3 linked regions of the Xenopus tropicalis genome follow. The protein of the gene in region 1 purifies or fractionates together with the protein of each later gene. This does not show direct contact. Links are inferred from orthologs where the notes say so. Each region holds a gene or a part of one and is shown on either strand. Other genes may lie near its edges.

Region 1 (2,597 bases):
CAGTTACAGGTCACCACTTTACATTACCACTTCTAATTTGTTTACCTGCTACCTGTGTTGAAGTATCAGTCTACCCTGTAGTGATATTAGAAAGTTAGGGCCCAAGAATGTAGGAAAGGGGCTAGACAAGGTAAAGTGGGCAGAGATACGTAGATACTGGAACAGCATGTAACAGGCATAGAAGCAGGACAATGTCAGACATAGAACTAGACTTTAAAGAAGCAGTATACACCTATAATATAAACCTTTTTTTTACATAAGCAAAATAAATAGAATTTATGCTGAGAATTCATTCTGCCTATTGTTGAATTCTCATAGTTTATTTTTAGTACAAATTAGTAATTAGCAATAAGTATCTCCAAGTCCTATTTGTTAAATTAATGTTGATCAATGAAATATACTGTCCCTTTAAATAGAGAAACTCAGCCCTGATTGTCTAGCTCTAAACAGCAAATAAGGCTTCCTGGGATTTTTAACACACATTGGGGAAGACTGGTGATAAGCTGTAATTGACCAGGGACCTTTTGCTAACCTAACCTGGTGTTTTGGAAAGGCATCCTGCAGCCAGGTGGTCTGTCAAATCCCAGCATAGCAATAACCCAATTAACAGGTTTTGCCATCTTTATTACAGCTTTATTTACAAACTCAGAAAAGACTCACTATCCACTTCAAATGGTATCTTTTTAGGGTGCATTCAGCGGCTGGAAAGTCATTTTAAATGTTGACCAAACAAAGGAACCTGGTTTCAAACGTTTGCTTCAGTCAGGAGGTGCAAAGGTAGGCTGTGGTGTTGTTTCCTTTATTGAATTAAAGAACAAAATAGCAACTGATAATTTATTTGGTAGACATTGTTTAAAGCCCCTGCAGAACATAATTATTCATGGTAATATATACGGGCAAAAATGGTTAGTACAAAAAAATGTACAGTTCTTCAACTTTTATTTTACGTGCTCATTGCACTCCAAATGACTAATTGCTGGTGCCAGGAGCCCTGCAGCAGCTTCATTCCTTGTGTAATGGAAGCATTCTTTGGTGTGGAGCAGAACTTTGGCTGCTGCCCCAAGTGTCAGCATTAGTCTCAAAATGACATATATGCCATAGCCCCAAGGCATCTACCTGTAATTATTTTTCATTTGCAAAAGCTGGTAAGACCGGGAACAGATTAAAATGCACCTATGTTTGAGAGGAGATATATGTTTTAGTAAAAATGTACTAATATGGTGAAATGTAATGTGGATTACATTATGGCAAAACAGTGGCACGGGAGGATTTTACCTACTGCACTATTTATGCATCCAGTTTTCCGTATAATGGGTTTCCAAATAATAGATTACCATACCTGTAATGTTAAAGTAACAATTTTTGTTTTTAATCTGGTAGAACTTCCAAATTGTTATCAAACTGTATTCATGCTTGGAGGCATGCAGCAATGTGATCAGCTTGTGATCACTTGTTTCCTAGTTAATCTTTTAGTTAATCTTTTAGTGTCAGACATTAGTAGTGGTTACACATCTTTTTTAGCCGTGTCCCCCCAAAATCATACCTCATCTCCTCTCTGAACATATTTTTAGCTCTGTTCTCTTCATATGGCTTGCTCCTCCCTGGTTCATCCTCCCTCAGTTTTCAAACATTTTTCCCCACCCTGCACTGTTCTCCTTCAGCTGCCACACATATAGTCCCGTCCCTCCACCATCCTCCTTGCATCATCCACCAATACCTTTCACTATCATTCCATCTAATGTGTCCTGTCTTCCTAGGGCCATCCCTCTTCATCTATCTGAAAAGCAATTGGCTAAGGTGTAAGATGGGGATTGTGCTGTAGTCAACTGTCATAAGACATGGAGGAGGGCTAGTGCCAGCCAGAGAATTGGGTGGCTGAAGGAGGGTGGCGGGTGCAAGGATGGCAGTGCAGGACAAACTTAATAATACTGACAGCGAATGGGACATGGCAGATGGAGGTGAAACAAGAATTGTGTGTGACAGCTGAAAGAGGAGGCATGAGGGAGAAAACTTGAGAGCAGTTGATGGAACAGGGATGAGGCAGTACATGTCACAGATAAGAGTTGATGGTGCAGGGTGGACCAACCAGGCAGGAGCAAGTTATATAGGGTTGGTAAAACTGGAAATATATGCAGAGCAGAAATATGAGGGGACTTTGGGGAAGTCGGCATAAACGTGTAGGTACAGTAGAGTTTGACAGTGACAGTGGAAGGGCACACAAAAAGATTGTTATAAGGTACCCTAAAACAAACACAGACTCTTTACACCTTAAGCTAGAGATAATTAAGGACTGGGAAAAAGAAAATCAAGAGTCAGAGACCTTATGAAATGTGCCTGTGTGTGAGAAGCAGTCCATGTGTTCTTGCATCCTGATGTGATTAGGGATGTATCAAATATATCATTTTTGTATGTATATTTATAGGTATTTGCTGGCCATTCTTCTGCTCTGTTTAAAGAAGCCAACCACCTCTTTGCTGACTTCAGCAAACTGAAACCTGATGAGCCCAAGGTGAATGTGGCCGAGGCTGCAGCACAAGGAGTAAACTGCCTAAAGCCAGAGTATATTGCCGACTACCTCATGAAGGTTTGTTTAGTGT
Region 2 (3,662 bases), on another chromosome or scaffold:
TTTAGTACTCTATTTATGCTGATGACATTCAAATGTACTTCCTTTGCCTTGAACTTTTTTCATCTCTTACGTCTCAAGTGTCCACTTTCCTGTCTGCTATATCCTCCTGGATGTCCTCGTTACCACAAACTTAGTTAAAACAGAAAACGTTCAAGTACCTATGGCTCCCCCAATTACCCCCCCCAAATAAATACTGCATTAACTCTGCTTTAAGTGTTTCACTGCTAGTCATATACAGTCAAAGCCATGTCACCTGTGCCTGTTTGGCAGTTTCAGCCACTGCACATGAAATGTCAGGATGAAACACTCTCCAGTACCAGGAGTAAGGCAGTTCGATTTTGTTGCCTGAAAGAATTCTTATACCTTTAAAACCAAAGTGGTCCACATGGTTTGTGGTTACACAAGACACCGGATTTATAAAGGCATCAATAGTCTTTAAAAAGGAATTCCTGGAACAGCCAACATGCTTTCTCTGAGCAACAAAAATGTATTGCTCCTTAAATGTACACTGCTAACATTCACTCATTCTGTAATTACCCAAATACTTAATAGACATCAAATTTTACAATAGAAATTTAATTTTTATTTACAGTTTTAGATACAAACATGTTATTACACTGGGCTTAATACATTCAGCTAAATAATTTAGTCAGTACATATATATTTTTTTAAAAGACACTTTAAAATGGGAGACTAAAATGCACATTTACAAAAGTCAGTAAGAGATCTTGAGAAGAGGCAGGTGAAAATAGCCATGGGTTACTGAAATGACAGGAAAAAAAAAGTTAATACAAACAATATAGCTTTAAAGTATAAGCCCCCCAGAAATGGCCAATTGCTTTATATTGAGTCAGTCACTGAAGTAAAGGGGAAAACTACCTTATTCCTATAAGTTTATCAAAGCACAGATCATGTGGCTGTGGCACCCTGGTATATGAAGACCAAGGCTAGCCCCATGTGACATTTCAAAATTAATTAAAAAAAAAAAGTTTGTAAAATGTATTTCAATGCAGAATTCTGCTGCAGAAGCTCTGTTAACCGATGGGTTTTGAAACAACCATGTTTTCCCATGACAGTATTCCTTCAACTATAATAATGAATAAGTGAGAACAAAAATGAAAACAACTTTAGCCCAAGTGCCATATGTTATGTGTGAGCAGATATGAAATCAGACTGAATTAGATTACACAAGGCAGGATACCACTTGTTCTACATGAGTGCATTGAATAGCGCTTATGATGAATAATGCACAGATAATCCCCCTCACATTGGACTTCTGCTTGGAAATCTGCCTGGAAATATATTTGTCTACCTTGCAAGGTAGAAACATGGAGCAGCTTCAATATCCCAAGTTCATCGCAATAAATATGAGAAGCCATAGATTTTTTTGTGATTAAAACTATAGGTAAAAAAGTATGTTAAGCACAAGTCACATTTATTGCACTCATGCTGAAAAACTGGTATACTGCCCCTTTAAGCAACATTATCCAACAATCCAGACCTGCCTCACCTATGAATTTGGAAAAACTCCTCTTCACTAATTGCTTTTACTTGTACACAGAACAGTGCAAGGTTGTATTAACCCCAGACACTGACAGCACTAGCTCACACGAATTTCAGTCCCAGTACCACCTAATTAATACAATGCCTAATTTTCTTGGGATACTTGATAAACTGCTAAACTCTTTATTAACTGGACCCATGATACTAAAGACTAAAGATTATCACTTTATCAATGCAAAATGTTCAATGCATACTGCATATATGGACTAGTAAAGCAACACCTTTCCTTTTACATACCTCATGACAACAGAGAGATAAGCGCATCCAGGAACTTGCTGCGGTCCTCTGTCCTTAACTCAATTACTTAATACACAGAAAATATAAATAGAAGTTTAGACATACATTGCATATCAAGCACACACTTTGTATGGCAATATGCAAGGCACAGGTAGGATGTTTACTGTAATGCAGGCATTATTATGAGATTAGTGAACGTGAGTCAGTGAATGCTCCTAGGCACAATACAGGAAGCCAACCTTTTTTTCCTCCCTACCAAGTACCTATAGAGTAATAGTCTTGGCTGGCAACATTCCAAACACTCCAATATATCAAAAGGGACAGAGGTCAGAATTCCTGTAGGCTGACCTCATTAGAACTCCTTTGTGCCGGAGGTAGCCAGCTACTGTGCACAACTACGGTCTTAGTACAAAAGGAAAGAACCCAAAAAATTAAGTTTAAGCTTCAAGGAAATCTTAAAGGAATGGTAACACCAACAAATTAAGTGATTTATATGCATTCATTATGATGTCCTGTTATCCTGCACTGTTAAAAGGTGTGAGATTCAGAAACACTGCTATAGTTTAAAAAAATATTAGCTGTTGTACAGCCATGGAGGTAGCCATTCAAGCTGAACAGGGCAAAAAGGCTCCAGTTTTACACAGCAGAGAACAGATAAATTGCATAGAATACAGTGGGTTTAGTTCTTACACAGGGAAATAAACCGTATCCAATGCTATTCATGCCGATCTAAAGGATTAAGACTAAACTACAAAAGGAGATTTTGGTCAGATTTGGTTATATTTGACCCATGCAAGACCAAGCAACAGCACAAGATTTTGTAGGATCAACAAAATCTGATCCCCACAGCTGTAATGCAAGTCGGATCAGATGGTGGGTTTGCACATGCATCTACATCCAACAGTTAATGTATTTCAATGAAAAAGTCTTTCAGAGAGCTCTATTTAATGTTACTGGTTTAAGTTTTTAAAACTCATAATGTTGCAGTTGTAAAAAGCAACCAGTTACTTACTGGACATGTCAAAATGGTTGTGGAGCGTCCGAGAACTGGTGCTCTCCGCTGCTTTCTCAAATGCTCGTCCAAAAAAACTGCAGCATGACGGCAAAAGAAAAAAAAAAAAATTAATACTAAGCAGAGTCTAAAACAACTTAAGAAAAATTCTTGGGTTTGTGAAGTAAAATCTAAATTACTTTTGTTAGCACAAGACCTGTCGAGTGCTGTACACACACACACACGGACCAGCACTCTCAAATATTAAATCAAGGAAGGTCCAAATGTGGCCCAAAACATTGGACACAAGTGACATGTGAAATAAAGACATTTTATTGTTTTTATACTTGAGAATGCTGGTTCGTGCCAAACATATAGAACGTTTGGAGACAAGTGCAGGCACATTTTCTTTAATTGTATATACTGTACACACACACACACACACACACACATTATTCAATAATTTTTTCTTTCAGAATTACAATTTTAAAGAAAGGAAACCACAATAATGACTTACTTCTTCTTGTCTGAGCTCTCTGCTTCAGGGGGAATCCCCACCATGATCACCGTCCCCTTCTCCGCATCCAGAGGAGCTGCCAACACCAGTGGAAGCAACTTACAGCGTTTGTTTTTGGTCTTTAATAAAAAATTTAAAAAAACGTAGTATTAGGGCCATGTCAAGCACAGTACACACTGATGTTAGGTGGTGGAAAATGGCCGATGTGACGGGGCACTTAGGCTTTTCTTTGGGCAACAATTTGGGTAGACTTAATTTAAAACCGGTTAATTAATGAAAGCAAAAAAAAAAAAGGAAAAGAAAAACATTAAACACCCACAAATGTCTTTAACGTCTTCCCCAATTTTTCAATTA
Region 3 (3,469 bases), on another chromosome or scaffold:
AAGAAAATAAATTACTTACATTTTCTCTACAGCAAAACGTTCAGCGTCTCGTTACTCTTGTATAACAAACTCTGCATCACGATAATGAAGAAATAAACATTTATACAGAATAGTATTTTCCTTTTTTTTTGTTTTTTGTACTGCTGTTATCCCAGTAAATATATCAGTCTATTAAAAAGGCAGAAATATAGGAAACTTGTAGTTATATTTTCATGAATAGTTTTTTTTCCCCAATAATAATTACACTAAGTGTAGAAAAAAACCTCAGAAATAACTAGTGTAATGAAAGCATAACAGGAGAGGATTAGAAAATGGAAATGAAAAAAAAAATTATTATGTATTTATATATATATATATATATATATATATATATATATATATATTCGAAAATGACAAAAAAACCTTGTCTTTGGCCTATGGTAGCTGCTCCTTTAAGACAAACCAGTTTTCTCTTGTTTGAGAATATTTCAATTAAAAAAATGTATTTATAAATTATATCACCAGTATATTTATGCTTCCCAAAACAATGAAAAGAATACAGGAAGTACAGGATGAATGTGTACAAAAATAATTACACCAGGTTCTAGTGTAAATATACATTTCCTTAAAAAAGAAACAAAAAAAATGCCAAGTGGGTTTTGTTTTTAATAACATACTTGCAATGCATGCTGTATTGAGCCCACAAACTGGCATGCATGTATGTCCAGTTTGGAAGTCCTAATGCTGGTGGTCGGTGGGATTGAAGGCATTGGGAATACTATAAGTTCATGGTAGTACCATCGATTCCTAGAAGATCATCACTTTGATACAGTACAACCCTCTCGGGTTCTCTTTCTAAGTCTGCCCTGTTATCTGTATCAGTCTCATTCTCATATTTAGCATGGAAGCATTCTTCAGTATCACTATCCTCTTCGATAGGCTCATGCAGGCTTGGGCTTAGTAAAGATTCGCTGTCGCTGTTTGTTCCACAGGAACTAGATGTCAGATCTTCATCTGAATCCGAAAACACTTCTGCGCCGTGAAAAATATAGCGATTTGGCGCTAAAAATAAAAACTGCGTGCCTGAAGACAAAGAATAGAAAAATACTGTTAACACATACATGTATTTTACATAACCATTTTAAATTATAAGCCGCCAGCAAACACTTTACAATTATATATAACAAACAGGGGTCCAACAAAAACAATCCAATTTGATATCCTGTGGATAATGTGCATCCTGGACACCTTTACCATGTGATGGGGTGGGCATGATGGTGCTTAAGCAGCAAGTGTGCTAAGATCTCCACATAATAGTATTTCATCGTAGTGCCATATAAGCTAGGGCACATAGAGTGCTGTCGGCCCGTTTTTTTTTTTCAGGCTGAGAAGCAGATCCACTCCCTTCTGCACCCCAGTGATCTGCACTTAAAAGTATAGATCCTGCTTGCATTCAGTGGAGGTCGACTTGAAAATGCCTGATTTCAAAGTTCCTGCACACAAGCAAAAGCTGTTCTTTTAAGATTAGACGAATAGAGCTGCAGAAGGAAGTGGGCCTGCTTCTCTCAGCCTGAAACGCTCTGTGTGCCCTCAGCTTTAAGCTGACCATAAATGCACCGATATAATTGTACAAAACATAGTTTCGGACGGTTTTCAGACTGTGTGTGGGCTCCAAATTATCATCCCGATAATTTTCGTACCATGGTGATTGGACGTTTAGTAAATTGGAAAGGTTGTATTGTGTATCTGCCGATATCCTTGGGGAACCTACACTTTCATACTGCCTGCCAACTATTTCATGGTTGGAACACCCTCCGCTGTGTTATTTTTTTGTATTTTATCCTACAATTTCAATCGGAATGTTAGTTTTAGATTGTTGCATTTAAACATGAGATCGATATCCGAATGTTTGTCGGAAGACTAAAATCTAAACATGTATGGCCAGCTTAAGGACCATGTGTGTTATATTAGCCTTATGTAGTACTACTTTGCAGAACTGTAAATGTTACTTTAGGGAATACAGATTCTTTGTACTTTTTGCAATGATTTTTCTGTTACTTAATGCAAAGGGAGACAGTAAGTTGCCAAAGCTCTTTTTGTGCCTGTGGTTCAAGTGTGGTTCAACACATGAAGCGGCAACATGTTCTACAGTGCTATACAAAGGGTTCTCTTTTCAGTACAAATTCAATGACAATGACCCTGGGTTCTACCCTGATATATATATAAATTAGGGCTACAACTTGAGTTCTCTTTTCCATGCATCCTGTTTAATGAAACTACTCTTATATTGATACATGTATAAACCTGCCTGATTCAAACCAATTTAATATGTGGTACTGATATTGAAACGGCAATGTTTGTATAGTTTTTTTTTTTCTTACTGGCGATTACTGTTGTACCTTAATAGGTGCCATAATACTTGGGAATTTAAAGCATGTATTATAAAAGCTGTGTAGTTGGGGAATTATCTCTCTGAACCAGTTGTAGATGCCATTTAGCGAGTCAAAAAAATTACACGGTTACCGGAATTAACTTTTAGTACAAAGTCAATATAGGTACCAGGTTGATTTTTTTTTTTTTTTTTTTAAGTCAGGAACAATTTTTTTTTACCCTGCTGATGCAAACTTGCATTCGTGTCACAGATTTTTTGGTTTTCCTTTTGCCCCACTAGCAGTTTCCTTTAGACAAAAAGGGTAAATTTGATGGACTTTTCAACCACTACGGCACTGCACACAAGTAATATACTTACTGTCTAGGCGCTTGCTGATCTGTTCTTTTGTATATTTACTTTCCAAATCCTTGGCTGAATCAATGTCAGTATCTTTCTCAGCTGTTTCTTGATCTTTCTCATTGCTGAGCTGTGTGTTAGCTTCCTTCGACACTTCTAGATTTTCCTCACTACAGTTGTGTGAAAGCTTGGAGGCTTCCTCGGGTTTTTCCAATGAGCGCATTGTATTAGAAGCACTTAGCTGTAAGTCTGTTCCACGCAGGTCGCTTTGTAGTGCTGGACTTTGCCCTGTGTTTAAGTCTGTAGATGGGACAGTCTCTGGTGAGGTAAGGAAACCTTTGTGTATTCGAGGGGGCTTTTCTGTGATTTGTGAAAGTTTTAAGGAATTGGTACAAAGCTGGGAGTATTTCCCATCTAGTCTTTGACATAACTCGTTTATAATTACATCACAATCTCCAAGCAGTTCTATATCGAAGTGTAAATGAGGCAATGGTTCCCTATTAATTAGTATCTGAGGCACTTCATGAGGAATAGAACCTGAAAGAAAATAGACAGAAGAATCAAATGTAATTCTGACAGGCATTTGTTGAGTAATTGAAATAACACAAATATTCTTTTCATATAGTCTTTGTAATGCTTAGGTTGCAAATGTGTGTATACACTGGCCAATAATTATTTAAAACAAAATGTATCTGTTTTTGGTGGGTCATTATAAATATAATATATATTAATATAAATAAATTATAAACAGTAAGTGTTATG

What was found.
Region 2: the proteins of topbp1 (region 1) and cdc45 purify together in Homo sapiens (affinity purification with western blotting; 3 studies listed by BioGRID and IntAct, with this or other methods). This does not show direct contact. The link is inferred for Xenopus tropicalis from reciprocal best matches to the Homo sapiens genes TOPBP1 and CDC45.
Region 3: the proteins of topbp1 (region 1) and sirt1 purify together in Homo sapiens (affinity purification with western blotting; 3 studies listed by BioGRID, with this or other methods). This does not show direct contact. The link is inferred for Xenopus tropicalis from reciprocal best matches to the Homo sapiens genes TOPBP1 and SIRT1.

The regions. Positions count from the first base shown.
Region 1 is NC_030682.2:52,618,398-52,620,994, forward strand, and holds part of topbp1 (DNA topoisomerase 2-binding protein 1), read left to right. Parts: intron 1-687; coding exon 688-777; intron 778-2,422; coding exon 2,423-2,584; intron 2,585-2,597. UniProt on the Homo sapiens protein: Scaffold protein that acts as a key protein-protein adapter in DNA replication and DNA repair. Composed of multiple BRCT domains, which specifically recognize and bind phosphorylated proteins, bringing proteins together into functional combinations.
Region 2 is NC_030677.2:154,245,226-154,248,887, reverse strand, and holds the end of cdc45 (cell division control protein 45 homolog), read right to left. Parts: intron 3,428-3,662; coding exon 3,309-3,427; intron 2,890-3,308; coding exon 2,813-2,889; intron 1,867-2,812; coding exon 1,802-1,866; 3' UTR 1,801-1,801; intron 763-1,800; 3' UTR 561-762; downstream 1-560. UniProt on the Homo sapiens protein: Required for initiation of chromosomal DNA replication. Core component of CDC45-MCM-GINS (CMG) helicase, the molecular machine that unwinds template DNA during replication, and around which the replisome is built.
Region 3 is NC_030683.2:38,251,151-38,254,619, reverse strand, and holds the end of sirt1 (NAD-dependent protein deacetylase sirtuin-1), read right to left. Parts: intron 3,245-3,469; coding exon 2,729-3,244; intron 1,063-2,728; coding exon 758-1,062; 3' UTR 628-757; downstream 1-627. UniProt on the Homo sapiens protein: NAD-dependent protein deacetylase that links transcriptional regulation directly to intracellular energetics and participates in the coordination of several separated cellular functions such as cell cycle, response to DNA damage, metabolism, apoptosis and autophagy.